Linked DNA regions of Oreochromis niloticus. Each later gene encodes a partner of the first gene's protein in a complex. Links are inferred from orthologs where the notes say so. Each region holds a gene or a part of one and is shown in the gene's direction. Other genes may lie near its edges.

The links.
Region 2: the proteins of cnnm2b (region 1) and ADP-ribosylation factor-like protein 15 are in contact, whole or in part, in a crystal structure (PDB 8F6D), measured with the Homo sapiens proteins. The link is inferred for Oreochromis niloticus from reciprocal best matches to the Homo sapiens genes CNNM2 and ARL15. Residues at the interface, in NP_060119.3 of Homo sapiens: Asn490, Val492, Pro521, Leu522, His523, Phe524, Val525, Phe526, Thr529, Glu537, Lys542, Ser543, Gln549; in NP_061960.1 of Homo sapiens: Tyr92, Ser94, Arg95, Gln98, Gln128, His129, Pro130, Gln131, Cys133.

Annotation. Positions count from the first base shown.
Region 1 is NC_031971.2:33,157,727-33,173,702, forward strand, and holds the start of cnnm2b (metal transporter CNNM2), read left to right. Parts: upstream 1-9,677; 5' UTR 9,678-10,021; coding exon 10,022-11,507; intron 11,508-15,976. Other genes in the region: as3mt (arsenite methyltransferase), read left to right, coding at 3,034-3,050, 3,379-3,427, 4,658-4,785, 4,865-5,015, 5,275-5,411, 5,503-5,572, 5,685-5,766, 5,844-5,975 and 3 more.
Region 2 is NC_031977.2:26,524,863-26,540,294, reverse strand, and holds the start of ADP-ribosylation factor-like protein 15, read left to right. Parts: upstream 1-7,688; 5' UTR 7,689-8,098; coding exon 8,099-8,110; intron 8,111-15,432. Other genes in the region: snx18a (sorting nexin-18a), read right to left, coding at 314-1,829.

The DNA of each region.
Region 1 (15,976 bases):
CTTTGTGGGATGTCCTGTTAGACTCATGTTTCTAAAGTGCTTTTTCAGCAGTTCAAAACCATGCTGCCTTTTGTCTGTTTTTGTTGCTATGTAAGTCTCACTAGTGATAGGGAAGTGTTAGTGCATTAACAAATCTTCATGAGAACAGTTCCTCTTTTGCACAAATGGTATTTATCTTGCAGATGCTAAGGTTGTTTAAATCTAGTCTTAAATTAGCAGTAGATGATTACCTTCTTACCTTTTTGTTGTAATGTGTGAGAAATGGACCTCTGAATTGTTAGTAGGGAATGCAGCAGATTTCTTTTGTATACAATCATTTTTAAAATTGATTTGTTGAATGTTTGTAGTATGTGCCTACCCCCTTAAAAATGCAGAAATTTGATGGACAATGATAAGCTTCCATATTGTTGAGAGACCCGGAGAAAGCAGGTACCAAAAACATGAACCGAATGTTAAGCTTCATAGAGATTACACGTGAGATGGGCAACATCAGACCTCACATTTTAAAGTCACTTTAATGGACCTTCACCAGCTTGACAGCGAAAAAACATAACTTTTAACACTATTTGTATTAAATTTTCATATCAACACAGCTTTGCCATTGTTCAGCTTTGCTATTCATACATGAAACATTTATAATGTTTCATTGGAGGGCACATTAAGGCTAATTTTAGTCAACTGGAAAAGTGACTTCTTTTTTTTTTTTTTTTTTTTTTTTTTTTTTTTTTTTTAAACCAGGGTGTATATATCCAGTCATCTACATTTGTACTGTCCAATCAAGAAAGGAAATGTTACTTTTAATGTATATATGTTTTCTTCATTTAGACATTCATCCCATATAAGTTTGTATTAAAATGAGGATTTAATAAAGGTTTTGGTTGTGAAGCAAACAGTTTGCACACAAATGACTTTTAACTAAGTATTTAACCCGACAGAGCAGTTCGAACCTGCCTTTCTCTGTTTGCATGTTCTTGCTGAGCTTGTGTGGTGCTTCAGTTTCCATCTTTGGTAACTTTACATTTCTGAACTGGCCCCAAGTGTGAGTTTGGAGACCTGTCCAGGATGTACATAATGTCTGATGGGACAGGCTCCAGTAACCCTGTAACCATAGTTGGATAAGCAGTCAAAAAAAAAAAAAAGATTAGTGGGCAGATTAGATTAGTTTCTTATTAGAAATAAGCATAAGGTAATAAGTAATTGGTTGTTATTAATATCAGAATATTTTAAAAACAATCGATTGCACAACACGATCTTTATGAGACTATTATGGTACAGCATGGTACAATATGTATAATGCTGCACTGCTGTTACAAAACAAAGACCATGTGGTAGAGGGGAAAAAATATAGTTGTCAGTTCAAATTATTTTAGGAGTTTTTAATGCTGACAATCTAGCCTGAGCTTCTAGTGGCATGCCATAGATGATAAACACAAATAAACCTCGACAAAGAAATCTGTGTCTAATCTCTTAAAGTGGCCACAACTGATGAGACTACACCATTATGCCATGCAATTAATCTACTTGGAGTAGCTGAAAAGATGCACAAATTGCAATTCTGCAAAGCACAAATGTTTCAGCCGTTAGTTTTACGGCTCTAGGAGAAAATTGTTTCCCAGAATTTCCAGCACAAAAGGAAAGTAACTTTCTGCATAAACAGTTAAGCTGATTGACTTTTGCCCATCAAAACCCGAACACACTCGAAAGTGCTTTATCCGTTAATGCTTTCCGCAAGCTAGAAGATGTCATTGTGTAATTGTGGTACATGTAGTCGAAAGATGAGCTATTTTTCATATTGTCTGATTCTTTGAAAAAATAACGGAACTGTATAAAATGTCAAAACCACTTTATATTACAAATCATGTACAACATTCTGTAACATGTTCATGAACCAAATAGTTGCTTTAATCGTTTTTATGAAATCATTAGCTTTATCATTATGGACAGATTCTTTTTTTTTTTCTTCTTGTGGGTATTATTGATTTTTTGTTGAGAAAGACTAAAGTTCTTCTGAGACTCAAACTGAAGTTGTGTGAAGGGTACGTTTGACTAACAGTACAGTAGATAATTTGTTAACAAGATCAGGGGCATCTCGCCAAAGACATTTTTCTTTCTTCATAAGTGTGTGTGGTTTTGCACTTCTTGACATAAGCCATTTATTATGACAACTAAGATGGATGTATGTTCAATAAAAATGCTTAATTGTAGTCGATCACTGTGTCCGTGACTTAATTTCAGAGTGGTTCTACTGAGTGAGTGATGTTATTGCAGAGGTTAAGGATCCTAACAAATGCCGCTAATCAGCCACTGACTAGCTGATTGGATTTCATCCCAGCTGTCATTGGGTGAAAGGCAGGGTCCATCCTGGAGATGTCACCAGGCTGTCACAAGGCTAAGCAAAATCCCATACACATGTAACTGGGATTTTGCACAATATCACAAGCACTCCTTACTATTTTCCCAAAAGGTTGTCTAACTTTGTCAGAATTTGACTTTCAGTAGCCTTCCAGAAAGGGCTATGCACCTATGATGCTGTGTATCTTCCAGTTTGAAGCTGTGGCACTTTTGCCACATATAATGAAAAACTGCTTACTTGCAGGTGGACAGCTGTTTTTATTGTGAACTGATAAACCATCACTGACCACATTTGGAAGGCACCTTACCATTTAACAAGAAAGCAATATTATAAATCTAATATTATATTATTATATTCTGTAACACCCAGTTTTAATAATTTATGTATTATTATTCAGCTGAATGATTGGTGGGAGTGCCCCATGCTTCCTCTTGGAAATCCCCGTGAAATTGATAGCCTTGTTTCTATTAAATTAAATTAAATGCATTTAGTTAATACAGCAACACATTGCTGCTGTGACGTTAGCCAGCGAGGCAGGTAGGGGGCGTGCTGGTAAAACAGGAAGTGAAACGCACAGTGTTGGTTCAAAGCTACAGTCATTGGTCCAAAGTAAGAAAACTTGACAGCACACTGAGATTTTCCTCTTTAAAGCGAACTTGGAAAGCGCACGTAATGTGACCATGGACCCTGGAAAGAGGTAAAAACAGCCTAATCCTTGTGCTTTATCCAGTTTCAAGCTGTAGCTGTTCTGAATTCAGCGAGTGACGTGTGGCAGGTTGAATCTTCACCTTTAATGTTGTTATGATCAATGATACGTACACGGTTATTTTTAAAGAAACGGTAGTCATAAGGTGTCAAGTTAAAGACTAAAATACTTGTAATCTTGTTACGTGACCTTAGTTGTAACTATAGCTACATCACTCTAAGTCACCAGTGAACTAGCAGTGACTTAGCGTAGGCTAACTTACTAACGTGTATTTGGAGGGCTAATGTGTAACTCATATTTTCTTTTTTCTTTTTTTAAGTACGTGTCCAAAGGCATTCTCTGATAGCACCATTCACGTGGACGTGAAGGTAAAATAACACCAGTCGGTAGTGGTACTGCTCCTGACAGTGTTGTTAGCCTCTTTGCAGTATTTATGTATCTGTTAAAACAGAATTAAACAGGATCTTCCCCCTGATGAGTAAATGATCTGTTTGTACAGATCATCTGTCATTTAAAAATAAATCCATGTTAGCCGTAGTTGTGCTTATTAACGTGTCTGTCCAGCAGTTTTGTTCCATTACTTGTATGGTCAGTTTCCAGTGCAGCCTCAAAGTCAGACAGTAAAACCTTGTGTGTCATGCAAACAGTTTTTCTCAGCCTATCCTTTGTGCACCCTTAAAAATGCAGACATTGACATACTGTACATCAGAATCACAGTCTGTATTGCCATTATAGCAATTATCTCAGTGCAAAAGGAGAATAAAAATTAGAATATATATATATATGTCCCTTGTGTTGTCTTTGGGTCATTTTTGTCCCTGAGGACCACAGGTGTATGGAAATCGGGAGGACATTATGAGGGAGATAAATGTTTAATCTCAGCAAACTGAGATTAAACATTTATCTCCATAAAACAAACAGTCCAAAGACCACTGGATGACATCACAGTGCCTTCATCCATCTTTTACATACTAAACAAATTGTCCTCCCGATTTCCATACACCTGTGGTCCTCAGGGGACAAAAATGACCCAAGGAAAACACAAGGGATATATAAAACAAACAACAACAACAACAACAACAACACAATTGTTTCCATATTGTGCTTCTCCCAATTTGCTGGTGTTAACTTAAATACCAAGGGTAACTGCAATTGTAAACATGAGATCATCTTGTAACAATGTAAACATTGTTTATGTAAGTTGTATTGAATCTGGATGTCCATAATTTAGTAGTGTTCAGCATGTTGATGGCTGAGGGATAAAAGCTTAACAGACTAAGTTCCTTAGTCTATTAGGTCATATCTTTATGGTTCTGAAACGTCTGCCTGAAGGTAGATGTTCAAACAGTGCATCATCATGGTGAGATGGGTCCTGAAGGATTTTATTAATGTTCCTGAGACAACGGGAGCAAACAAACTGTTTATTTATAAATAAATAGTCTGAAGCAAACGTTTTGTAACTAGTAAATACACTGAGGGTTTTCGTATTAGTCTCACATTTTTAGACCTTTATCTTTTCTTAACTCCCCTTTGCTGAATTATACAAACCTGCTTCATAATGAGGGGCTACTGTTACCAAGGTTTCTTTGTCAAAACAGGATTATTATGGCAAGAGGCTGAAGCAAACCTCAGACCTAAAGACCAATGCCTGCGTGGCTCCAGTGCAGCCCACCCCTGACTTCATTCGCCAGGCACTAAAGAAAGTACACCCTGAAATCACTGCTAGGTTAGTGGGTTGCTGACCTCTCTGTTCTTCTAGTCACACTTCAAAATCAGTGAACCTGATATGTTTTTGTCTTCCACAGGTACTATGGCTGTGGTTTGGTTGTGCCAGAATGCTTAGAGGGCTGCAGGATACTAGACTTGGGCAGTGGAAGTGGGAGGGACTGCTATATGTTGAGTCAGCTTGTGGGTGAGAAGGGCCATGTCACTGGTATTGACATGACTGACGGCCAGGTATTGAACATTTGTATCGCTGTACTGGCCTTATGATTAATCAGTGGATCCCAGTTGATGGCTAAATGATATTGAATGTAACTCCAAAACTTTATTGAAGGCTGGTAAAATCTTATAAGTGAAAACTTTTCATCTTCTTAATTTGTAAAGACAAAACTCTGTTTTATATGCATGCATGGCTTAAATACAACCAAAGATTTTTGGACCTAGTGAGTGATAGTGATAAATTCTGATAAATGCCTTTTTTTTTAAATTCCAGCTTGAGTTGGCCAGGACCTATGTGGACCATCACATGAAAGAGTTTGGTTACAAGAAGCCAAATATAAATTTTGTCCAAGGCTACATCGAAGCCTTGACCGAGGCAGGTCTGGAAAATGACTCGTTCGATGTTATCATGTAAGGTGTCTTACTAATCCTTATTTGTGTGCAGTTCTAACTTAATATAATCATAGAATAACAGTTTCGAACATCATCTCCTTTTGCTTAGCTCCAACTGTGTAGTGAATCTTTCTCCAGACAAGAGGATGGTACTGACTGAAGCTTACAAAGTACTTAAGGTACACTGCTTCTCATTTTTTTAATATTGTTATTAAATCTTCAATCATAAAGCTATGAGAGCAAAGAAAATATTTACACATTTACATACACTTTCTCATTTTTCCTCATTAGGATGGTGGTGAGCTGTACTTCAGTGACATTTACAGCAATGGAAGACTAACAGAGGAAATTAAAAATCACAAAGTGTTATGGGGTGCGTCTAATTAATATTCTACTGCCATAAATTGACAAGCACCCACCAGAATATCACAGTCGGTTTTATCTTTGCAGGTGAGTGCCTTGCTGGAGCACTCTGGTGGAAGGATCTCCTGCAATTGGCTGAAAAAGTGGGCTTCAGCCCCCCACGGCTGGTTACGGCCAGTGTCATCACTGTTGACAACAAGGAACTGCAGGACATTCTTGGTTTGACAGCTTTTTTACTTGCTTGACTTTTGCATTATTTGCTTGATACAGAATTACACTCAACAGCCACTTTGTTAGGTACATCTGTTCAGCTGCTTTTTAATGCAAATATCTAGTCAGCAAATCACATGAACACAGCTCGGTGCACATAGGCATGTCGACATGGTCATGATGACCTGCTGAAGTTCAAACCAAGTATCAGAATGGGGGGAAAAAGGTCATTTAGGTAACTTTGAATGTGGCGTGGTTGTTAGTGCCAGATAAGCTGGTATGATTATTTCAGAAATTGCTGATCTACTGGGATTTTCCCAAACAGCCATCTTTGGAGTTTACAGAGCTCCGGAAATGAGTAAATATCCAGTGACATTCATGTCAGTTGTACACACAGGCACAATCGACATGAATGATGCTATCAGAGAATCCTTTTGCACAACTACTTAAAGAAGAACATTTTATAGATTAACCCTACAAATAAACAGTACTAAGTTAGCCTGCACTATAATGTCACTGCTGGTTTTCTCCTAACCTATATTTATGTAGCTATAGTTACAACTAATGTAACATTACATGATTCCAAGTTATTTTAGATTTTGAGAGCTGCTAACCTTCGTGTATGACCTGAAATTTATTTATTTATTTTTTAATTTCAATCTGGTGTGTTTAATACAGGCAACTTCAAGTTTGTTTCTGCCACATACCGCTTGTTTAAGGTCCCCAAAGGGAACACCAAGAACTGCAAAGTCATATATAATGGGGGCATGACAGGGGCAGAGGATAGTTTCCAGTTTGACTGTCAGTACACCTTCAAGGTCTGTATATTCTGAATTAGAAGAACGTAATGCTTTCTGCTCACTTAAACTATGCAAATGATTTCAGATTTGGATGTATTTTGTAGGCCAATGAAGTTGTGGAGGTGGATGGAGAGGTGGCCAACATACTGACACATTCCAGATTTGCAGAGGACTTCACTTTTCAGCCACTGGGGGGCCCCACTGGGCCCTGTGGAGTCAAACCTAAGGTCAGTGTTGTGTTTAAATTCTTGGATGTCTCTTTTACACATTAGGGGTCAGTGTGTTTCTGGTATCAATTTGTGTGACACGCCCAGAGGGCAGAGCGCCTCTGTCAAACTGCGCTCACAAACACACATGCATGTGCTTCTGCATGCTGTACATTCTTGGACGTTCACGTACCCCTCAAACATACATACACACATGCACAAGCGCAAGGTCAAGCAGCTGTCTTGGACTCATAACCAGACTGTGGAGTCATGCTGGGGAACCTTGAACAAGAAGGAATGTTCTACACTCAGCTAATAGAATACCATTTTATCAGGGCTTACAATCATTTTATGCACATACACCTCTAACAGCACCGCTTTACATTTTTTTTAAAATGAGTACTCTAACTTGTTAACCACTCATTAAAGATTTTTTCTCTTCTGATATTGGAAATAGAAGTAAATTAAAATGGTAAAGGCTTATCAAAATCCACCTCATTATTAACATTTTGAACTGCCCCCTGAATTGAAGTCTTGTCTGAAAGAGTTTTCTCTAATCACTACAGCAGTGTGCTGATAATAGTAATAAAAAAGCCTTTGGTCTTATTCATGGAAAGAACAGCTGCTTTGAAATTGTGACTTAATGAACAACCAGCAACTGATAAAAGAAGCACAGGGCCATAAAAAGACTTCATCTAGAAGAGCCAGTGTTCTGTTGTAATATACCATAATAGTACCTGGATTTACTTCTTCAATTTTTTGACCTTGCTTACAGTGATTTGGGATGAAACACAAATATTACATGATACATACATGTAACTGGGTGCTTGTTCTTTTAATGCTTCTGCTTGGCTCAATTATTCATACAGGCTGGCATTGAGGACCCTTTTGAGCTGGCCCTGATGTTGGGTGTGCAAGGCCCTGCATCAGCCACTGGGGGATGCTGCAGCACACAGTCTGCTGGCTGCTGCAAGTGATGGTGGGAAGAGCACAAAGAAACAGGCTCAGCTTCCTGCCTACCAATAATGCCTACATGTTTGGTGAACTTCCATTAATTAATTCATTTTAATTAAACATAATCATGTTACTGGTTGATACTGGTTGCTCAAACAACTTCACCTACCCAGTGTATAATGGAGACAACTCAGCTAATCCAGTTTTAGTTTCACTTTGGAACACCCTGCATTGCAATTACACAAAGCCATCATTTGCTTCACATACTGCATGACTATGTGAAGGACATGAGTTCTGCTGATGACTTTAAAATGTTTTATTGTGTAATCAAAGTGTTTGTATTTGAAGTTGCTTAAAGTGCATATGAGCCAATTTAAGGAGCCAGCATATGATTCAGGGCCATAGGAAAAAAAATCTCACATCAAACAATTTTAGTTTGACTTTGTGTCTTATCAGATTGTGGTGGTTCATGTTGGTATCTGCTGCTAACCATTAGTGAGGTGATTGTTAAATTGCACCAACTATTTTTTTTTTTAATGTTTTTAAATTAAGGTTAGGGTGGTTTATTTTGCCATAATGTCAAAAAAAGAGTTAAAATTGGAGAGATATGCTCCCTGCTTCCAGTTTTCACTGGTACTATACAATGGTTTTGACTGAGCTGTTGTTGAATCAAGGGTGATTAGAAGCCACATAACATTTTTGAAGTCTGACACTGGCCCACAGGCCACATGTTGAGTACCTAGGCTATAAATTATCTTGCGCAAACAAGATAACAATATCACTTTGAGGGATTTAAGGGTTCTGCAAGTGCTCCCAGTTAATATTTTATGAAAGGATTCAATATGGTAACAATTCATTAACATAATTATATGGTATAGATAAAAGGAAAACTTTATAGTAAGGTTAAATAAAAATGCAACAAATTTAAAACCTTTTAACAACCATGAGCAGTATTAAGAAGAGCACCTTCTTCATTTGTGCCTCATTTTGTCATATGCCTACTTAGTCTAATTATTTTCTTACCCATAAAACTGACATTGTTTATTCACACAATACTTTTTACTTACCTTAAAACCTGTGTTTTAGTAAATCGGTGCTTAATTATTTTGCAGACTGGCTTTAAGATGTGCTTCAACCAAAGTGTACAAATTATCTCCCGTTATTGTGATGGTTATGTGTTATTTCTGATAAAACACAATAAATAATAATTAACGAAATGACTCTTCTATTTTCATCTTTGCTCCTATGATGTAGTGCATTATTTCCAAAGGTACAAATGCACATTTGTATTTGGGAAAAGCTGTGATTAAGGGCACCAGTTCAAGCCATGGTGGTCAGGATCTCTCATTTTAGTTTCATTTTAAGTTTAAAGGAGGAAAAGATAAATAGGCCAATAAGAAGTAATTGTGTTAAAGAAATTGTTTTTTGTATTACACATCTCAATGACGTACATGTATGTGTGTGTTTTCTGGTTTTGACAACTTTAACCTCTTTAAGTTAGGCAGTCTATGAACATATTACTATCCCCTGTAATACCTATCATTAAAATAAGACATGATATAGATAGTGCTTCGGAGTTTCAGCATGCAGGATGATGCAATGCGATAGCAAAAAACCAAATTAACTTGTCACAACCTATGATAGTCTCTATATAGATAAAACATGTTGTAGTATTTATTTTAGTTAACCTTTAATCTTTGCACATGCCTTTTTTTGACATTTAAACTGCTTATTGTGGTTGTCTTTTCTAGCATGATATGTTTTAAGAAGTCACGAGTAAAGTCCTGTCTCCTAACATGAGGTGCACTTGTTTTGGAATTTGATTCGCCAAGGAGGCTGCGGACGCCCCGCCTCCCGGCCAGCGGAACCTCCCGATTGGTCGTCGCCGTCGCCTGTATCGGGGACACCAGGGGAGGCACGAGTTGGCCCGTAAGCCTGCGCTCGCGAGTCATCAGTGTCGGACACGTAGTGGGAACGAGCAGGTCCTGATGCACAAGTCACGGCAACCCTGGGCGGAGATGAAGGCGGACTCCGACTGGCTCTGATTTTTAAAAGCCCTTTTCATTCAGGAGGTTGGTTGCCAGTTGTTATCAATATGGCAGAACCGTTATCCCAAGCACCCACCGCTGCAAAAATGGCGTCACTTAACCGGGTCCGAGCTTTGGCGATGATTTTCTTAACTGTCACTGGCTGCTGTGTCACCCCGACAAGTGGCAAGGAAGGGTCCGAGGAGACCGTCATCATAGGGCTCCGACTGGAGGACACGGACGACATTTCCTTCATGGATAAGGGCTACCTGCGGGTGAGTGAGCGCTCTCGGGTAAAATTAAGAGTGTACGGGCAGAACATCAACAACGAGACCTGGTCCAAAATTGCTTTCACGGAACATGAGCGGAGCCGGGCGGTTGGGAGCATTGACAGCTCCTCGGGGGATAACCAGAGCCAGGAGGACTCGTCCGGCTTGCATCCCTGTGGTTTTAGGACTTCGGATATAATGATATTGCCCTACATCATCCTGAATCGAAAGACATCCGGTATAGTTGAAATTGAGGTCAAACCTCTGCGAAAGACGGAGAGGAGTAAAACGTATTACCTTTGCATCGCCACCTCGACACCAGCCGTGGCCGGGATGCACGACCCGCGGACGGAGAACACCTGGATCTACCACGATGGGGATGACACCAAAGTGATAGTGGTGGAGGAGAAAAAGTTTCTGCTGCCTTTCTGGCTCCAGGTCATCTTCATCTCCATGTTGCTTTGCCTGTCCGGTATGTTCAGCGGGCTGAACCTGGGGCTCATGGCTCTGGACCCCATGGAGCTCCAGATAGTCCAGAACTGCGGCACGGAAAGGGAGAAGAATTACGCCAAAAAAATAGAGCCGGTCAGGAGCCAAGGGAATTATTTGCTGTGCTCTCTTCTGCTCGGGAACGTGTTAGTGAACACCACGCTAACCATCTTGCTGGATGATATCGCCGGTTCGGGCTTGATTGCTGTTGTCATGTCCACCATCGGTATAGTCATTTTTGGGGAAATCGTGCCACAGGCCATCTGCTCCAGGCACGGCCTCGCTGTGGGAGCCAACACCATATTCCTCACCAAGTTCTTCATGCTGCTTACCTTCCCTGCGTCCTACCCAGTCAGTAAGCTGTTGGACTACCTGCTCGGACAGGAGATAGGAACCGTGTACAACAGAGAGAAGCTTCTGGAGATGCTGCGCGTTACGGACCCCTACAACGATCTGGTGAAAGAGGAGCTGAACATCATCCAGGGCGCGCTGGAGCTCAGGACTAAGACTGTAGAGGACGTGATGACGCCGCTGAGGGATTGCTTCATGATTCCTGGGGATGCAACGCTGGACTTCAATACCATGTCCGAGATCATGAAGAGCGGCTACACGCGCATCCCCGTTTTCGAGGGCGAGAGGTCCAATATAGTGGATCTGCTCTTCGTCAAGGACCTGGCCTTCGTGGACCCGGATGATTGCACTCCGCTCAAAACCATCACAAAGTTTTACAGCCACCCGTTGCATTTTGTGTTCAATGACACCAAGCTTGACGCAATGCTGGAGGAGTTTAAAAAAGGTAAGAGTTTTGCATCAACCTTTGACACCTGGAATGTGTTAAAGGTTGATGTCTGTTCTAGGCTGGTCTTTCACATGACCACCCTCTTTGTTGGATAAGGCAAGGTAGATACATGAGTTATGTAATAGTTTATGATGCAAGGAGTCACAGTTTTGACCTTTCAACACTGAGTGCATGTGGTGTATCTATAGGTCAAATGTCTAAAATCAGATATTGAGCAATAAAAAGAAGGAATTCCTCAATAAATTTCTTGTACTGGAGGGAAAAGAGATGGGGGAGGATAGCAGCAAAGGTTCTTTTCCCCTCAGACAACACTGAATCTGCCACAGGTGTAGTTGCCAGATCTTCACAGGTCACTTCCTGTAAAGCGGAGAAGCAGGTGTCCTTATCATTCTCCATCACTTCCATTAAGTGTTAATGTTCACACTCTCTCTCTCCTCCTGCTTTTCCTCCTCATGCCTTGCCCTCCTCCTATTCAACCTTTTTCACACTTTCCCCTTCCTTTCATCTCTCCCTCTCTCTCATTTGTAAATGCATTAGGACATGTGGGAATAGTGCAACGGCAGTGCTGAGGTTATCAGGTGGGGGCATCTTGTTTGAGAACCTGCTTAAATCCCTGTCTGCCTCTCATGCGCTTGCTTCAGAGTGATGGTGGCGATAACTCTTTTTTTTTTGTCCAATCCTGGAATGCAGTCGTGTGGATAATGAATAACAGCCTCTAACACCCTCAAGCCCCCCATGTGCTGTGTGTATTTGTATGCGCATGGTGTTTGAGAAAGATGTTTACCTCACCCACGGTTTATCTGATGTTTTGCATAGCCAACCCCCTAACTGTTGTTGCTTCTGACTAAGTTATTCCTGGAAAGTGTTTGTAGATTTGGTGCTGGACTGGACTGATGCATACACAGACACACCTGTCAGCAGCTGATTTACGAACTCTTAAAACTGTGGGGAAAAAAACATGACTGTTGTGCGCTTATTAGAATATTTGCTTTATTTTAAGAGGATTAATTGGGAGGAAAAACAGAACAAATCAGCAAGCTCCATTACCAGAAATTAGGTGTAGTTCCTCTGCCAAATTAGCATTACATAATATACTATTTGGGGAGGGGGGTGTTTGTTTATTTATTTTCATCACAGCTGACTAGTCACGGACATGCACCAGTTTTCCGAGTAAACAGAGAAAGTTCACCATCCTGTTATATTATCAGAATACTAAGATCAGCAAATATTTGCAATTTCTTTTTATTATTGCATATATCTGTTGTGATTGTAGTAGACATCTGATGACTAAGATTTTGTGTTTTACAACCATTTAGTGAATGTTTTTATGTTTGTGTTTACCTGTGTTCCTGTGCATGTGTGTGCTACACAATGGCGCTGAATCCACAAGTCACTTCACTGATAAGTAATATTGCAGAACATTAACTGGAAACTGTTTTGAAGAAAATAATTGGGTTGTTGATTCACTAGTCACCATATTTCAAACTTGTGTGAAGTGTTTATTTTTGTAAGGTAGTGACATTTTCTTCTTAAGGAAGGAAAATGTTCCATGCTCTGATGGACATTTAGTGATTAATAATTACACTCCTGCACAATTTGTTTTGACAAAAAACAATAAACTGAAACAAACAGTTTTCTGCTCTTTTTAATTAGATGGATATTTTTCTATCTATCCACTTTCTTAACTCCTTATCCAGTTCAGGGGCATGCAGGGCTGGAGCTTTTCCCAGCTGTCATGGGATAAGAGGTGGGGTACAACCTTGACTGGTCACCCATCTATCACAGAGAGAAAAGGACAGCCGCTTATGCTTCCAGGCAATTTAGAATCACTAATTAGCCTAATGTGAATGGAGCGATACCACACAGGCACAGGGACAACATCCACATACCAAACAAAAAAGATGCCAGGCAGTTGACAGTCTCAAACTCAGGACCCTCTTGCTGTGAGGCGATAGTCATAACCACTGTGCCACTTTTCCACTCATGCTTAGTTTGCTTTGGAGTCATTCCTCAATTTGTGCACAAGCTGTAGATCTGTTCGGAGTTTAAAACATCTACATGCACCTCATTAAATATCCCGGAGCATCGGTTCATTTTCTGTCCACAGCATCCAAATACTTTCTATATACCTAATACTGAGTTTATGTTTAAATAAAAGCTGCTGCCTAAGCAGCCGTGACATACTTTGGTTTGATATACTCAAAAAACGAGAGACAATTAATAAAATAATGTGAAGTTTTTCTCTGTAGAAGTATTTTGCCTGTTAGCAGAGAGAGTGTCTTGTTGCATAATGATGCTTTAAATAATTCAGCTCCATTCATCTAAGATATGTTTGTAAATGGGTAACCGGGTGTATCTGTTTGCAGTAGTTAGTGGCAATTTGTGAATTCTGTTCACATACTCCCACTAAAAGACGAATACATTAAGTTTTCGCATCATTACACCTGCATACTTAATCATAAACACTCAGCTCTGGAGGGTATAGCGTCTGTGCTGCTGGCAGTGCACCAGAGGGGAATTCAAGGGAGGCAAGTCATAAGCAACTACTGTAGGGAGGGCTGTGGGGTCAAAGTTTCCCGTCAATCTGGCTCTGTTCACAGCACACACTCAGTTCAAAGTGCTTTGTATTGTAAGTCATTGTTAATTAATTTGATGCCGCTTGCGGAGCTGCATAGTCGTTTGGAGTCGGTTACAAAAAAAAAAGAAACAGTCCCAAAACATGCTGCTCACGGTAGAGACTGTGTTAGAGCAGATGGTGCTGCTTTGCATTGGATCAGAACTTTTTTCATAAGTTGGTTCCTCTTCACAGTTGTGGATTTGTAAGAGAGGATTTCAGACTGTGCAGCATTACATAATTCACTGTGATGCTGATTCTACTCTTCGTTATGATTTTAAAACATTCTCAGAAGTGTTCATTTTACTTGAAAGCCACCATAATCAATGTGTGTGACCCTGCTTATGTTTTACCCAGCTCCATCATTGTCCTAGGTCAAGGGTTACAGTGAGATTCATACAGGAGGTGTTTAATGCAGGCAGACACACTTCTGGAAACTTCTGACCCCTTCATTAATTGCTCTCCATCTGCGACTGCAACAATTACTGTCATCTGGGGGTTTCTTGTCAAGCTGCAGGTTTACCCGTTAATGAGTGGGTCAGTGAGTGCCTTTTGGGACAAAACCAAGTAGCTGGGGCAAAAACAAGAATTTAGCTACCCTTCTGGCTTCCAGTTATGTGCGATATTCCTGAAAGTGCAAGTTAGTCACTCCTTCACATGCAGTGTTCCAAGCTTTTTGAGAGGAGGAATGGATTTACCGTAGGCATGAGAGCTCAAATCAGGTTATGCACACATGTTCCTCTACACCACTCTGCTTTCTGATTCTGGGGAAGCCGGGCCACTCGTACAGCATCAGATGCACGGGCACTTAGAGTCACTTTGTCTTATCTTCTATTTTCAAATTGCGTGTGTGATTGATGTGGTTATTCTTCTGCGTGCTGGTGATAAATATATTATTTCACGTGCATACTGTTTAGTCATGCCTACAAGTTATTATGCAGAAATGATTCCCTGGCACATTCTGCTTTCACAGCACAGCACTCATCTGCAAACCTTTTCTGCTGTTAAATGACTAAAAGTTCATTCCACCGTGGTCTTTTCAATTCAACCACTGTTTCTTAGCCCAGACTACACTGTATTCTTCACTGTTTTAGAGTAAAAGTCCCCAGTGTAAAAGAACCTACATGAGAACTGGCACGACTTGAACTAGTTCCCTAATTGCTGCAATATAGGCCAATCTATGCTTAATTCAGATTCAGCAGCCTTCGCAGGCTCTTTGCTCAGGACTTTGTCTTAAAGTGAAACTCATTTTTTCTCTTTCGGGCCTTGTTGAAATACTGACAGCAGTTTGTGTGTGTTGCGTTTTTTAATGTTTTTATTCTTTCTGGGGGTTTGTGTGGAGCATATCATAGCAAATGTCTAAAAAGCGTGATGGATTGTTTGCCTGGTAACCCTTGGTTTTTAACGCTGCATCAAGTGTTGGGATTAAATGACATCATGTTGGTAAGAACACTTAATGTTTCCTGATGAGGGACACCCCTTTGAACTCAGCGTGACTTCTTCTGCCAGCCGCTCACTTTATCAGAAGTAATTACCTCGAATCAAAGGTTGTCTGCATTTCACTATACTTGGTATTACAGAAGACGGCATTGGCTGCAGATTTTCTCTCGAGTGGAATGTAATATCATTAAAAAAACACTCTGCATTTGAGTGTTGCAAGTACGTGTTACCTCCCGCGTAACATAGTGTGTTAATTTATATACAAATTTGTTTATTATTTAAACACTTATCTTTTTATAATCATATCACTTGTGATTTCTGCTTATTTGTTCAGGCACCTGTCTGCATGGTTTATAAGAACAAAAATTATTCACTTGTTGTAAACATATTCCTCTGTTTCTGCAACCCTTTT
Region 2 (15,432 bases), on another chromosome or scaffold:
GATCCCACAGTTGCCATATTGCTTTACTTTAAGTGTATATGTGGTGAGTTTAAATGGGGTGGCTCACTGGGATTATGAAACATTTGAATATTTTGGCCTCTACTGTTCTTCTGAATTTGAATTGTGTGTATCTGATAGTTTTCTGCCTTTGTAGTTCAGTTTGGTCTTTATGCTTACTGCATAGAATTTAATTATAATCATCATCATAATTCCCTTCTGATGTCTCAAGAATCCAAAGACGTAAAGAAAAATAGCCGACTACTGAGGCTCCTCAGAGGGGACAAATCTAGTAAATGTGTATGACTGTGGTTACCTTTCTGGACATGGATGATGTCTGGGTAGTTTGCCAGATGTCCTTGGTAAAGAGCTAACAAATCCATGATCGGGTCGAGATCCTTGTTGGGCTGCTCGGCGAAATATTCTCCGATGGTTTCGAATGTGTCCCCGGTGAAGGAGATTGCCTGGTTGAGTCCTGCAGAATACACCTGCTGGTCGATTTCAAAGGCTTGACTGAGGACCTTAAATGACATCCCTACTTTTTGATACTCCTTCTTGAAGCCACTGATCTGCTTTCGCGCAAACTCACTGACGGTGGCATTGAGCTGCAAGGTGCTGTCGTCCATTCTTTTAGTAAAAGTCTTGAATCCATCTATTTTGCTCTCCACCTCCTGGAAGTCTAACGGAACTGGCGGAGGGCTGATGGTGAGGAAAAAGTTGGCTCCGACCATCTCGTCCTTCTCTGCCTTCCTCTTCCCCTGCTTCCAGGCCTTCTCGTCTGCGCTGTTGCACGTGAGGAAGTGCTGGAAAACATCACACCTGGCCAGGACAGGATGACTGGTCATGTGGTTCATCCACCATATGAGGCCTTTCCTCCTCTTGGAGATAAAATCCTCCTCAAAGCGCCCCGTGGCCTGCTTCTCTGGAATGTGTGGCACCGAGATTACGGGAAACTTCTCCACTAGCCGAGCATACAGCCAGTCAAAGTGCTTATACCTCCTGTTCACCGGGTTCTGTGTGTGGGTGGGTGTCAGCTTATAGGAAATGTAGCTTTTCATGCCCTTGAACTTGGTCTGTTTAGTGGGGTCATCAATTGCACAGTTGAATGGGTAAGGGTTCTCTTGCCACTCTGGACCATAATTACCCATCACCACGCAGATTTTATCCCCATCCTTCACAAAGCCGGACGCCTCTCCGAGCACAAACGCCTCTCCCCCTGACTTCACAAAGGTCGAGAACCTGTTCAGGTTCCTGCTCACTGTAGCAGAGCTCTTGGCTTGCTGAGCGTTACCTCGTGGCACTGATGATGTCGTCACTCTGTAAGTGGACGGTCCATTCCCTTCATAGTCATGGTACCGTCCTCCTACAGTACCTGGCTCATCTGCCACAGTAGAGCTGTCATCCCAATCATCATCCCAGTCATCATCGCTGCCTTGGCTGGGCTGCTGGTAGCCGTGCTGCTGCTGCTGCTGCTGTAGCGGTTGTGAGAAAGCGGGGAAACCAGGAGGAGATGGTTTAGAAAAGTTCTCAACTTTAGGTTTATAAGAGCCGTCAAAACCTCCGGATGGGATGTTGGCGTATCTAAAGTCCGGGTTAGCGTCCCCAGATGTGTTGCAGCTGTTGTTGTTGACAGTGGTGGAGGCGGCATCGTTCCGCAGGATCTCCACGTACGAAGCGGGGAACAGTCCCCTTTCCCCTTTGCTGTTCACCCCTTCGAACCAGCCCTCGATGTCCTTTTCGCTGTACACAGTCAGGATCTCATTCTCCTTCACGGACACCTCTCCGGGGTTTTCAGAGTTGAAGTCGTACAGCGCTCTGGCTCTGAGCGCCATGATTCACCACAGCTGGAAGGAGAGCAGGACAGCGGGCTCACTTACGGCTGGCTGGCCGGGACAGAGGAAGGCACAGCGGGCAGCCGGGCTAGCTCGGTCAGCCCAACAGTAACTACTCTCAAAACTCCGAGCACAAACTTCTACAACGGCGTCTTCAAGCAGATGCTCTCAGAGTGGTCCTCTGTGTTGGCAAAAAAGCACTGGGATGTTTGTAATCCTGCAGCGTGCGAACCTGAATTAATGTTTTTTCTCCCCTCTCCACAACAACACTAATCTGTGCTCCAGCAGTCACCCTCCGATCCCTGTCGTACGCTTCTGTCTTCACAAGCTGCGCAGCAACCGCACGTCAACCAGGCTGAATAATCGAGGGCGGAGCAACAGCACGCCGCGATCCGCCCAGACGACACAAATCAACCGGCCGTGAGCGCTGCGAGTTTCTCTAGACTCGATGACTGATTGATTCCAATCGGAAACAAACCGATGCGCCTGCGGGGAGCAACGGCAGAGACATAACAGCTGATAAGATGATGCCTCAGCACATGATTTAAGGCTTAAAGTATGTGCTGAGGTCACAGTCAGGAGTTTTACATATTGTGTTAGTGAATAAGAGGCGTTTCATACAGTTATAACGCTTTAAATGCAGTCTACAAATTCCAGGTAATGTAATGTCTATTAAAGGCATCAAATCCCAGAGCTACTTCACTGCATAATTACTTCAAATTAAGATTATACATAATGATTAACCTGTGAAAACTTTAACCAGGTACATTTTTTTTTAAAGGCCTGACTGTTGATGATGTTGACTCTAGTTACTAATTAACAGTGCAGCGCAAGGGCACGAAGAAGAAAGGGGTCATTCTCCTGCATCAATTTACATTTCATAAAAACTTTGATCCATTTCTGTATATGAAAACACAGCAGGAGTCTTAGTTTTTCATGTTTTTATGGCATACAGCTTAAGCTGTATCTTATTGTCAGTGATTGTAAATACAAATTGTTCCCAGCAAAACTATAAGGTTTACTTGTTTCTCAAAATTTTGAGGAATTAACTTCACTGTCATTAATAGTAGCTACAATCGAGAACAAACCGAGGAGTCATTGAATTTTTCCAGTGCTTAAAATTTTACAGACTTATCAAAGCAAATGGCAAATATTTACACACAACAAGACTCGCTAGTCTGAGATAAGACCGCAAATGATGTCCGGATATCAGATTAGAAGTCGGGATCGGATTTCGGTGGTTTCTCAGTCAAAAGTAATGCCAGCAAAATACTGATATCATCCTGACTTTGTTCGCATTCTAAACACTCATACTTTCAGTTAAAGGCTGAATGGGGAAACTACTTATGTGTATTTTAAGTCAGTTTAATGTCTAACTTATAAGTTAATAAACTACAAAAAATACAATAAGTCTTTGGATAATTTAACCGAGACATAAATGGTAAAATTTCCTCTGTTTTCTCCACTGATAACCCTGCATGCTTCAACATAGCCACCTATAAAGGACACATAGACAATAAGTGTGGGAGAGACTAAACAGGACTCCATTATCAATTATTCTGATGATTAATAACGCGATTATTGAACTTATATTTCTAGTATCAGAAAATTGTTACAGGTGGTCGCTCCACTTTCCAGCCCAAATACTGTTTATCGATTCAAAATTGAATAAAAGCTGAAAAGCTTTGTTTAAATGGTGTTACATACAGCAGGTAAGCATTTCCTTGGGAAAGAGGTGCACTGCACAAGGACGTCCTTAAATCCACTTTACTTGGTAGACACTGCCCCCAAGTGGCTTTTTCTTGTTTTGTTTCTCAGTGAAAGCTTGTGAATTCTTTACATTACCCAAAGTGCTATTTGTACAAATAACATCAATGAAAACGACTAAACATCGGGGGGGTTCTTAATAATAAGTGGCAAAAATAAGGGAATGTTTTTTAAAGTGTGCATTTGTGTCACAACTCAGTCACTTTTTAATTCACTCAACATGAAATGAAAGGAATACAATTTTAGTGAATGGCCTTATAATAAAACAAATTATAGAGGTTTTTGTAGTTTAAGGTACAGTAAGTTAATCATACGCCCTGGTTTATGTGGGACTACACAGCATTTTTATCACTTGCTCTTCTTTCCCACATTTTGACTCTGTGCCTCATATTTGGACTGCCTCTGCAGGACACTTTTCTAAAGTCTGACAGTTACCCAAAGCATGTGAAGAAAGCAGGAAAAGATTTTTTAAATTACATTCAAGTGAAAGATATCATGTCTGATGTTATATCCATCAAAACAGTCACCCAATCCACAAGCTTTGCAGATGCTGATGAATATGATGGCATTTACCAGAAAGAAAATAAAATGCCAGCATTTACTTTTTCACCTTTTCACTGAAAACACAACATCCAGATGAACCAAATCAGCGTTTGGTTCATCTGGCACAGAGTTTTCTTGCCTTTTTCTAGAATGTTTTTAAAATTTTGAGAAAAGAGATGGATGCATGCATGCATGGGTCGATAAGAAAATATGGTGTGAACTGACAGTACATGTCTGTCATAAGTGGCTAAAAATCACTAAAATTGACACATAAGCCTCACATAAGGTATGGAAATCTAATACCCTCCCCAGTTTGTTGTATTTTTATTTTAAAATGAGAACTCAAAACTCGGACTTGTTCCATATTGTCCTTCACAAGCAGTGCTTGTTCAACATTTAGATTTTTGGTCACTCTGAGCTCAGGTAGTAGAGTAAGTCTGCTTTGAGCCATGTAAGGTTTGTGATTCTGGGCTTCTCTCCTGGATGTGGATATGGATAGGTGTCCTTGGAAGCCCTGAAGGTCTTTACTTCTGGTGCTGTGTTATCTCAACCACTATATACCTACAGGCCACCAGGGGTCTCTCCACTGACATTTGCGTGAGCCAGGATTCCAGAAAAAAAGAACATTAGTAGACACGTATACGTTTACACGTGTTTGAAATTCTCTGCAGATGAGATCAAAAGCAATGTTTTCCTTTGGACTCTTCTTACCACTTTTCCACAACTTACAGACTTGTCCACGGGACATCCATTTCACCTTACTTTACTGACTTCAGGGAGGGTTCCTTAATAGCACATCACATTAAATATTGAAGAAGGATGTGGTCTCCAGAGATATAAATAACTACAGTATTCAGCTTCCATCATATAAGCAGACTTTTAATTTACATTGATATAACATAACTGCATTGCGTGAGCTGTAATCGTGCTTTGCTCTAGATAGTTCTTACTACTTTTGCCCACGGATAGTTTTCTTTGCAGTCTTTTGGGGGAAGGTGATGAGATGAAACCATATTTGCATAGTTCTGGAGGGTGCCATAGTGGTAGCTGAGGCTTCTTGATCTTAAGTTCGATTTCCTTTGCGTGAAAGCTGTTATGCACCTGCATATGCATTCTTTCTTCTAACCACCTTCTTCGGATTAATAGCCACGTTTAGGAACCAGTCTTTCACTCCGATGTATGCTTATCATGTGATCTCTTCTCATTCATTATGCATAGTGTGCTATATTATGACAGAGTTTGTTTTAGTCTGCTCGAAAGCTCGATAACATTGTAGAAAACTGCAGCTGAAGCTGAAAGATGTGTTAGATCTGCGTGAACACCAGTAATCTGGTTGAATGTAAATCAAGGGCGTAGATTTGGCATGGACGGAAGGGACATGTCCCCACCAATATCCAGCGATTATTGAATTGTCCCCACAAATAATTTGATCTCTTCGAGTAAAGAAAAACAAACCCGATAGAAAGAGAGAAAAAAAACAACGATTTGTCAACGTCTCATTCACCCAGCTGTGCAGAAAGATTTAAATTACGTTCGCTACTGGAGTCCTACCTCATGTGACAAATATGGCCAATGTGATTGGCTGTGCCTTTCAGGGAGCTCTGTTTAGTTTTAGCAGCGGCAAGCCTGCGCTGCGAGGACCTGCAAGGAGGAGAGGAGGATGGCAGCAAAAAGGAAGAACCTGGATATAAGAAAGTATTTTTCAAAGAAACCTGTAAGTCACTTAAAGTCAAGCTCACTCATAAAATGTGTCCGTCATAATAACGTTACAGGCTATGCCCGGCTTTGGCCCACATCAGTCTAAAATTGTATGTAACCATGAATAACGTGTTTTGGAAACTAACTGCACAGCAGGCAGCACTATTAGTTATCTCAGTCTCCCAGAGTAGCATTTCTAATTTTGATTGAAAGTGTCAGAGAAAACGGCAGCCTCGAGCAAGCCAGGATATTAGTTTACAGAGGCTGTTAAAATTATATCTAATGTTAAAATGTTGGTGACACAGTAATTTCATCCTAATGGTACTGACATATTCATAGGGTTGATTTTTGAGACAATATATCATGAGGTAGTCATGATTTTGCAAATATTCCACCTTGTAGTGCAGTTTGCACAAATTGTTTTAAAAATGCACTCACCCTACAAACATTACTGATGAGTCAAGATCTGCACAAATTGACAGAAACACTGAAGCAGCTGCACATTTTATTCTTATTGTCATGGATGTCCTATTTGTCAGGTGACAGAAGAACCAACACAAAGCTCAGAGAGCAATGGCGATACAAGATCACAGGTGAAATTGGATGATGACTTGGTGGTTCATTACTGTATTTGAAGCACATGTGTGACTGCATGTATTTGGAATGTCTCACTGTTATTTATCAGGTGACCGAGGCAGCTCTGCCATGTTGTAGCTCGGACAGAGGTGAAGAGGCGAGGTCACAGGTGACTGACTGATGATTTGGTGCTATAGATTAACTAGTATTTATTATCATGACAATTGTTAGGCTGCTGATGTAAATTGATTCATTAGTGTACATTTGACAAAGAATCTGAATTGACAAGTCTCACTTTTTATATGGCACGAATCAATGTGTTATTTTATCAAGTGGCAATATGTCCTAGTGCAGTCAGAAGGGAAGAGCCAGGGCCAAAGGTGAGGCACATCAAGCACATAATAATAATTTTGTGGTAATCTTAGATGAGTAGTTTTATGGACAAAAACCACCAGGTCATTCAGTGTTCCCTTAGTGCTAATGTATCAGAGATGTTGGTGTACTATAACTGAAGTAATGTTCTTAAGTCCTTAAAGTCATATTCTTTTATTGTCATGACTGTATTTGAAGCTGTTTTTATTTTTGTATGATACCTGATTTATATGGAATATGGCTGAAGTAAACTAAAGTCTAAAATACTTAGTCATTTGTTTAATAGTAATTTAACATTTTATAATTCACATATAAAACTATGAATTGTAATTTTAAATGGTTTAAAAGCATGTAGAATAGCATATGTAGACAAGTATATCTCTCCATCTTTTTATCAAGAAGCAAAGACAAAAAGGGGGGGGGGGGGGGAACAGGGCAGGGTTCGGTGGTTGAATCATCCGTCCCCACCAATGCCAAAACCAAATCTACGCCCTTGATGTAAATAAGTACAGGATGTTTTTTTATTCCAGTTGACATGACATTAATATTCCATGCTCGATGCTGCCAGAATTGTCCTCTTCCTTTGAAAAGGACATGTGAGCCAAATGTTTAATGTTACATAATGATTTAATAATCTATATCTCTCTGTATAGTCCATAGTCCTTACTTTGGCGTGTAAGGACTAATCTGTAACGCAGATTAGGATGTGAGAAAATCTATTCATCTTCAGTGTCAGGGGATTATTTACTATTAAATCATATGATTCGGAGTGAAAACATAAACAGAAATCATCTTTGAAATCTACTTAAAATTAAATAATAATAAAGAAACAAAAGGCCAACTTAGCGACATTCAGCCTCACAGTGAAAATAGACGACCCATGTGTTTGGTCATGTGACCGCGTTGCGTGCGCAAAACGACGTGCGTGACGTAGCGTGGAGGCTTCGTAACAGTTTCCTCAACCAAACACTCAACTGATATTGTGTGATAAAAACTGGAAGTCCGCCGGTGAAAGAAGGAGCTGTTTGTTGAGAAATACACTCACCAACCCGGCGACCCTCGTCTTCTGAAACAACCGGAGACTCTACTGCACTGAAAGTTGGTTCAGTGGCGAAGAAGGCGGCTACATTCTGCCTGTAAACCCTCCGAAAAGGGCTGGTTTTTATTTTGCTTTGACTGTAGAAAGGCGGGGGATACGAAGCGACCTACGGTGAAAATCCGTAACATTTTCGACTAACTGAAGAAAACAGAAAACAAAAAACGGAATTACTACAGAGCCAGTTTGTGCTGCGGTGACTGGTCAGCGATAGTACATGGATTATCTGGTAAGTACGTGAAATGAAATGCCGTGGGGTTCCTTGTGCCAGTAAGAGACCGCTTTGAACGTTTGTTTTCCTGGCAGCTGGGCTCCCAATGAAGCTGTTGGTGTCACGCAGATGTGTGACCTTTTAACAACCAGGTGTTTATTACTATTAACTAATTTTGTGTCTAACTATAGGCGTGGTGACATGTGTTGTTTTATGCTAATGTCAGGTTTCTGTTGTAGCCTCTAGGTTTTGCCTGGTAGCTTCTTTCTAGCTGTTCGACTTAAACCCCAGTCACATGTAAAACAACAAGTCTAGCCATCTAGCGACACTCTTCAGGTGTTTGTAATGTGCCACGAAGCTGGCGTGCTCCACAAAACTCGCTCCTTCTGGGGATAAAGCAGCACTGTGTTGGAGTTGGAGTCAAGCTGTCACTCGAACTGACAGTTTGTCACTGCACTGGGATGAGAAATTAGTCCCCCTGCATACTTTTAATATCTGTGACTAAAAACAAAAAGAAGAGATTTATTTCAATCCAGACTAGTGCACCAGCTTTAAGCCGTGAGATTATGTTTTTTGGGTCTTTGCCCACATTGTAGGAATGGGATGGGTGCTGTTGAAACAGTGCAACAATGGAGAGGAAGCTGTAACTGAAGGCTTTCCCTGGGAATTTATGAAGCCGGAGGAAAAAGTGTACACAAACAATGTGCTGTCATCTCACATGGGGGACATGACAGTGTGAAATGCAAAGGAACTTGCCCACCCAGTGTTATCAGCTTGTTTATAGTGGGCCTCCCTAGATGTGACCGAAGAGGAACTTCGAACTTTGGCTTCGCTGGGACATTTCTTGAGCAAAGATGACAAAGTCCTGTTCAGCAGCTGCCACCAGAACAGCTGTACTGTTAATGTCTACCTTGCTTGTGGCTTCTGTGACACACTTGTAGTTTACTTGGGTTATACTGTAAACTCTGTTAGATCGTAATGGAAAGTTCTTGGTATCAAAGGGTGAAGGTACAGCTGTCAAAAATAGCAACTGTGTGTCATGAAATTAATGTAATCTGGCTTGCCTTAGCCTCCTTTGTTTCTCTGATCTAAGGGTTTTTTTCTGCAAATAAGCATTTTTTTGTAGGTGCTGTTTAATGTACTAAAGCTTAAAATACACTTTTTAAAAAAAATCAAATGTGCAGACTCCTCTAAAGTCAGGTAACACAGACTCCTTGCCTCAGTTATATGAGGACCAGTCATTCTTGTATGTGTAGTAATCCCAGCAAAATGACCATTTTGAGCCAACAAAAACCCAGCAGGTGCTTCATAGACATGACAGCATTTACAGTGATTTCAGATCATTTTGTGACAACTGCACGAAAAACAGTCTGCCATATATTTCCTCATCATAAAGCACAAAGTAAAATTACCCCTATGTACATATTGACAGGAATGTAAACACTTTCCAGCTTACGTGCTTGAAGGATTTAAGATTTTATGTGAAAAACAGTTTTGTGCAGAAAGCACAGCTGTAACTGTGGGCTGTTGGAGCTGAGTGCTTGGCTGTCCTCTGAGGTCAGGCACTCAATAGGCGCAGGGCCTCCTTTCCTGCTGTGCAACACTGGAGACCTGGCACAAGCCTAGACCAAAACTTCATCTCTTTTGCTTTCTTATATTAATTTGAACGTGTTGCTAAACTTTTAATAAGTTCTTCTAGTCTTGCTTCCTGTTCGGGCTGTTTGGTAAGGTTTTACATCAGGTTTTGTGTACAGCTTTAGCACAAATAGGAATGGAAGCTGACAGTTACTGCACATTGCTGGGTAATAACTGTGGTTTGAGCTTTGACAGTAGTTGAGATCTGGTGTATTCAGTTGGGAGCTGGAGCACGTTGAAGAGGCTGTGCTTCTGCAAGGTCAGCGTTGTTTTAAAAAAAGACCATACAGACCTACTGCATCCACACAGGAATTCGGTGCTGGTTGTTGCCATGACACAGTCTTACCATGATGCACTTGTACTGTTTGGCAATGTCTTTGTATTGATTGTACAGCATATATCTTTAATTACTTAAAAATTGCACAAGTTGGAGTTTATTTTGGATTTACTCAAATTCAAACATGTTTAAAAAGTATACATGCACTCTCAAATAAATACGTATCCCCACTAATATTTGGTTAAATGTCCCTTAGCAAGTTGTACCTTAATCAGATGCTTTTGGGAGCCATCAACAAGCTTGTGGCATAATTCTGGATGTATATTTAATCACTCTTCTTGGCACATTCGATAGAGTTCATTAAAATCGGTTGGTTTCCTGGCACAGACCTGAATTTTACATGTAGTCTACAAATTTTCAATAGTAGTGAGGCTGGGGCATTGGCGAGGTCAATCCAGAAACCTAATGCTAGCCTACTTTAACCATTCTAAAACAAGTTTTGATGTGTGTTTGGAACACTCAGTTATGTCCAGTTTTGCTGAAGTTGGAAAAATTTGGAGGTAGACCTTATTTATTGTTTTATCCACTTTGTGCAATGTACCTGCCAGTACTGCTGGCAGCAAAACAGCCCCAGAGCATGTTGCTACGACCACTATATATGTGAATATGTATAATTTTGATCCTTTGTGTATTGGAAAAAAGTTCTGCACACAATTCTTGTTTTTCAAAGTTATGAAATGTTTGCTTTACACTCATATTAGCCTAGCCCCCCCCCCCCCAAAAAAAATAAAAAATTAAAGTACATAATTAATATCCCAACATTACCGTGATATTCATTCCCACGATGAGCGTGTGGAAAGTTTTGACCACAGCTGTCTGTGAAAACACAAACAAGGCAGTACTGTTAGTTGGCTAATTTCTATAGCTCACACAAGAACATTTAGGGTTATTATTAATGTTATTCTAGCAGACATGACCTTTTTAAATAGGAATTTGCTTATTAGACTGTCAGGCTTTATGTATTATTCATATAAGAAATATTTTATCCCAAAAGTTGGGAAATTGCTATGTTACATCTAGGGATGCAACGATACCAATTTTTTCAAACCGATCCGATACCGATACTTGGATCTGAGTACTTGCCGATACCGAGTACAAAAACCGATACTTCTACCACACACAAGTTAAACTTAACCAGTAGTAAAGAAACGACCCCACACAACTCTTTAACACAAACGAAACGTTTACTGAACGTAAGGGCAGAGACAAATACTGTACAACACATCCCTTTTTTAAACTCAAATGATATTCCAATTCCTTAACCAAATGAAATACACTGTATAAATGACATAATTCCCTTTCAAATTATATTAAACAACCCAACTTATGTTATCACCTTTTGGTAAGTGACTCACTAATATACACTCCAAAACACGTTATATAAATCCACTAAACATACAATATTCACACATGGGCCCCACACACACTCACATTCACACTTGTTGCAGGCCTGTTTGTTGCTCACGCCGGACGATGGAGAAAAATCCTCTTCTCCCCAGTAAGAGCACAAAAGTCTGACTTACAGTTCAGCTGATCGGTAGGTCGCCGTTCACCAGTCCCACACTAAATCCACTCCCTGCGGACCCGATGCTGTCTCTGCTACAGCGCGTTAGCGAGTCACTGTCCAGCTCTCCGACAGTCCATAGCGGCTGCCTCCAAGGCGCAGCCAAGCAGTCCGGGCTAGCCTGTAGCCTCGGCGGTCGTAGCTGGAAACACAGCACGGTGGTGCGACCATTGAAACAAAAAGTCACTTCACCCACACTCTGTTGTGAAGCTCTCACACGGTCAGCTTTCTAGTCACACACTCTTTTGTGCTAGTTAACCTCAGTAAAACTAGCCGAGTCTCTCACTTTGGTTCAGCTAACCTCGTGCATCTCCCCATGCAAGGTCCCGTTTTATGCTACCTTCACAGGCCTCCAGAAAATTAGAACTCTGAAAAATATTTTAACTCCCTTCAGAGTTACATACCATAAAATAATACTTTTATGATTAACGTAACAGTTTGATTGCTCTAATTACCTGTATTTACCTTGCGACATATTACAGGGCAAATTATATTCAGGGTAGAGTTACATCACATAACATCAACTGTGAACACCTTATGTTACCGTGGCGTTTAAGTCCATGGGAATTATGAGTATCGGTTCATGGTATCGGTTAACTTTTACGAGTACGAGTACGCACACATTTTACAGTATCGGCACCGATACCCGATACCAGTATCGGTATCGGTGCATCCCTAGTTACATCAGCCAGCACATTAAATACAACTTTTAACAACAAAGCTCAAATAAAGTATATTGGCTCAATAAAATAAATGTATAACAAGGCAAAGTAGCTCAAAAAAGTAAAAAGGGTTTAATGAAAAAAACTCTAAATATAACAGACTAGGGAATAATACAGAAAAATCAAAATATGTGGTATGAGGTAAGAATTATTTTTCTGTATTTGTCCTTGTGACAGCGGGTCTGAGAGAGTGCTCATTCGTCTCATTTATGGGTGTGGTGCGATTTACAGCTTACACATTTTCCCTCAATCTTACACAATATTTGTCTTTTGTGATGACGTATTTACTCCTGTACACGAATGACTAAACCCTCATGGACTGACCTTCTGGTGAAAACTTTGCTATGTACTTTACAAAGACAGATCTGTAATGTTGTAATAAATATTGACATTGTTTATTGTCAAGCAACCAGCACTTTAAAAAAAATTTAAGTTATGCAAAGACTCCATGACAGTGACTGCCAGGCATTGACCTCAAGCCATGTGGTAACAATGGGATAAGAGAGCCTGAACTGCTGATAACATGATTCACACATTTACTCATGTGGCTCATATTCAGGAAGAAATCCATAAGAGAAACATTAAAAAAAATAGCTTTGTTGCAAGAAATGTAAAACCCAATGTTTAATCTTTTCATATATGTAATGTTGTTAATTTTACGTTGTTGAGCTGATATGATTTTGACACAATTGGATATAAAAAAAAAAAAAAAATCAAAAATCTGTAAATTAATTGTGAGCGTTTGTGATGGTTGTCGTTAAACAGTTGTTGATTACCATCCTTATCAAATGGAAAGCCTTGATGCTTGAGTCATACAGTCCCAATCAAAAGTTTAAGATCACTTGAAAAATGGCAAAAAAGTCATATTTTGCATGTTTGGGTTAAAAACGTTCCAAGTAGTTTCAATGTGAAACAAGAAGAAATGGGAGTGAGAAAAACGTTTTTTTGAGCATGCAGATTATTGAAAACAATGCTTGAACTGAAAAAAGGCTGTTTTACAGCCTTCAAAAGTTTAAGACCACATGCCTTTAAGGCCAAATTTGTGCAAAAATGTGGATTCATTGTCATTTTCTGTCAGGTAGTCACACTGTCATGACGTTCTGATGGCAAAGGCGAAGAAAGTTCCCTTTTTGAATGTGGTTGGGTTGTTAAACTGCATAAGCGGGGGTATTTCGCTGCGTGCCATCCGTGCTGAGGTGGGACGCAGTAAGATAGTCATTTTTATTTTATTTTTTTTGTTTAAATGATCCTGAAGGTTATGGAACAAAAAAAGTCAAGTGGAAGACACCCCAAAATTTTACCAGCACTGAGCCAGAGGATGCAATTAGCTATCTGTCAAGACACTGGACGACCCTCGACCCAAATTAAGCCCGTTACTGGTGCCAATTGCAGCCCCATAACCGTTCAAGGTTCAAGGTTTATTATTTGTCACATGCATAGTTATACAGGTATAACACACAGTGAAATGTAACCGTCAGACGGCATCTGAGACTGAAGGGCTTCAAAAACAAAACGTCTTCAACAGCTTCGTCTCCTTGAACGCCACAGAACTGACTGTTTGGACTTTGCAAGAGAACACCAAACATGGGACATTGAAAGGTGGAAGAAGGTTTTATTCTCTGATGAGAACATTTTCTTTTACCTTGATGGCCCTGATGGTTTCCTATGCTACTAGCACAACAAGCAGATCCCAGGTGAGATGTTTTCTACGCGGCACAGTGGAGGGGGTGCCATATTGGTGGGGTGCTTTTTCCTTCAGTGGAACAATGGAGCTTCAGGAGGTGCAGGGGCATCAAACCAAACACCTGCTGGCTATGTCCAGATGTTAAAGAGAGCATCCATCATGACTGAGGGCCCTCGTCTGTGTGGTAATGACTGAGTTTTTCAACAGGACAACTCTACAGTACACAATGCCCGCAGGACAAGGGACTTCTTCCAGGAGAATAACATCACTCTTTTGGACCATCCTGCATGTTCCCATGATCTAAATTCAAAGAACTTTTGGGGATAGATGGCAAGGGAAGTTTTCAAAAAGGGACAACAGACAGACAGATGCCTTTTGTGTGGCCGTCTTCACCACATGGAGAAATGTTCCCACTCAACTCATGGAAATGCTTGCATCAAGCATGCCCCAACGAATTTTTGAAGTGATCAACAATAACAGTGGAGCTACTCATTACTGAGTTCATGTTCTGAACTTTGATTTCTGTTTTGTTTTGTCTTTTTTGGGGGGTTGGGGGGTTACGGGTTTTTTGGAGGTGTGGTCTTAAACGGCCTGTTTCAGTTTAAGCGTTGTTTTCAATAAACTGCATGCTCAAAAAAGGTTTTGTCTTCTACTCCCATTTGTTATTGCTGCATGTCAAAGCTCTACTTGCAACCTTGTTCCAAAATATGTTGTGTGTTTATGATTTTTTGTTTGTCCCCCCTTTTTGAGCTTTGGTTTTTACCATAATTAGAAGGGCACACAAACTAAAACTTAAGGCCTTAGTAGTAGTATTTGCAGTTTGTAAACTACTTATGAGATAGGAGGCACAGTGGCATGGAAAAGTTTCTTTTAATATGAATACATAACCTATAAAAGATGACTTCATGGAATAACCTTTGTCTTTTACAATCTCAAAATAAAAAAAGTTAAGGTTTGGGCACCCTGCACTTGAACTGGCAAGTCTCATGTAGCTTGAAAAGAGTTTTTGTAAATCAGCTAAGAAGCTCTCTGTTTGGGCAAAAATCCATTTAAAAACAATCTTCATGGAAAAGACTTTTTGTGAAACCTTCAGGCTATCTTAGATGCACTCCTCTTTAGAGGCCTGTCTATATATTTCTGATAATATTTAGGTCAGGGGACTGTGGGGGCCATGACAAAACTTTAAGCCGCTTATGATGTGTTTAAGATCATTATCCTGCTTTATAAAACACACTGTTGTGGTGTTTGCTTCCGTAGGTAGTTGGTATTTAACTGAATACATTCTTCCAAATACCAGTAAAACATTGTCTGTGCTACTAGCTGCAACACAAGCTTAAACTGTAATTGACTGTAAACTCTCTCTCTAATCTCATCCTTAAAAGTTGAAGAAGTGTTCTT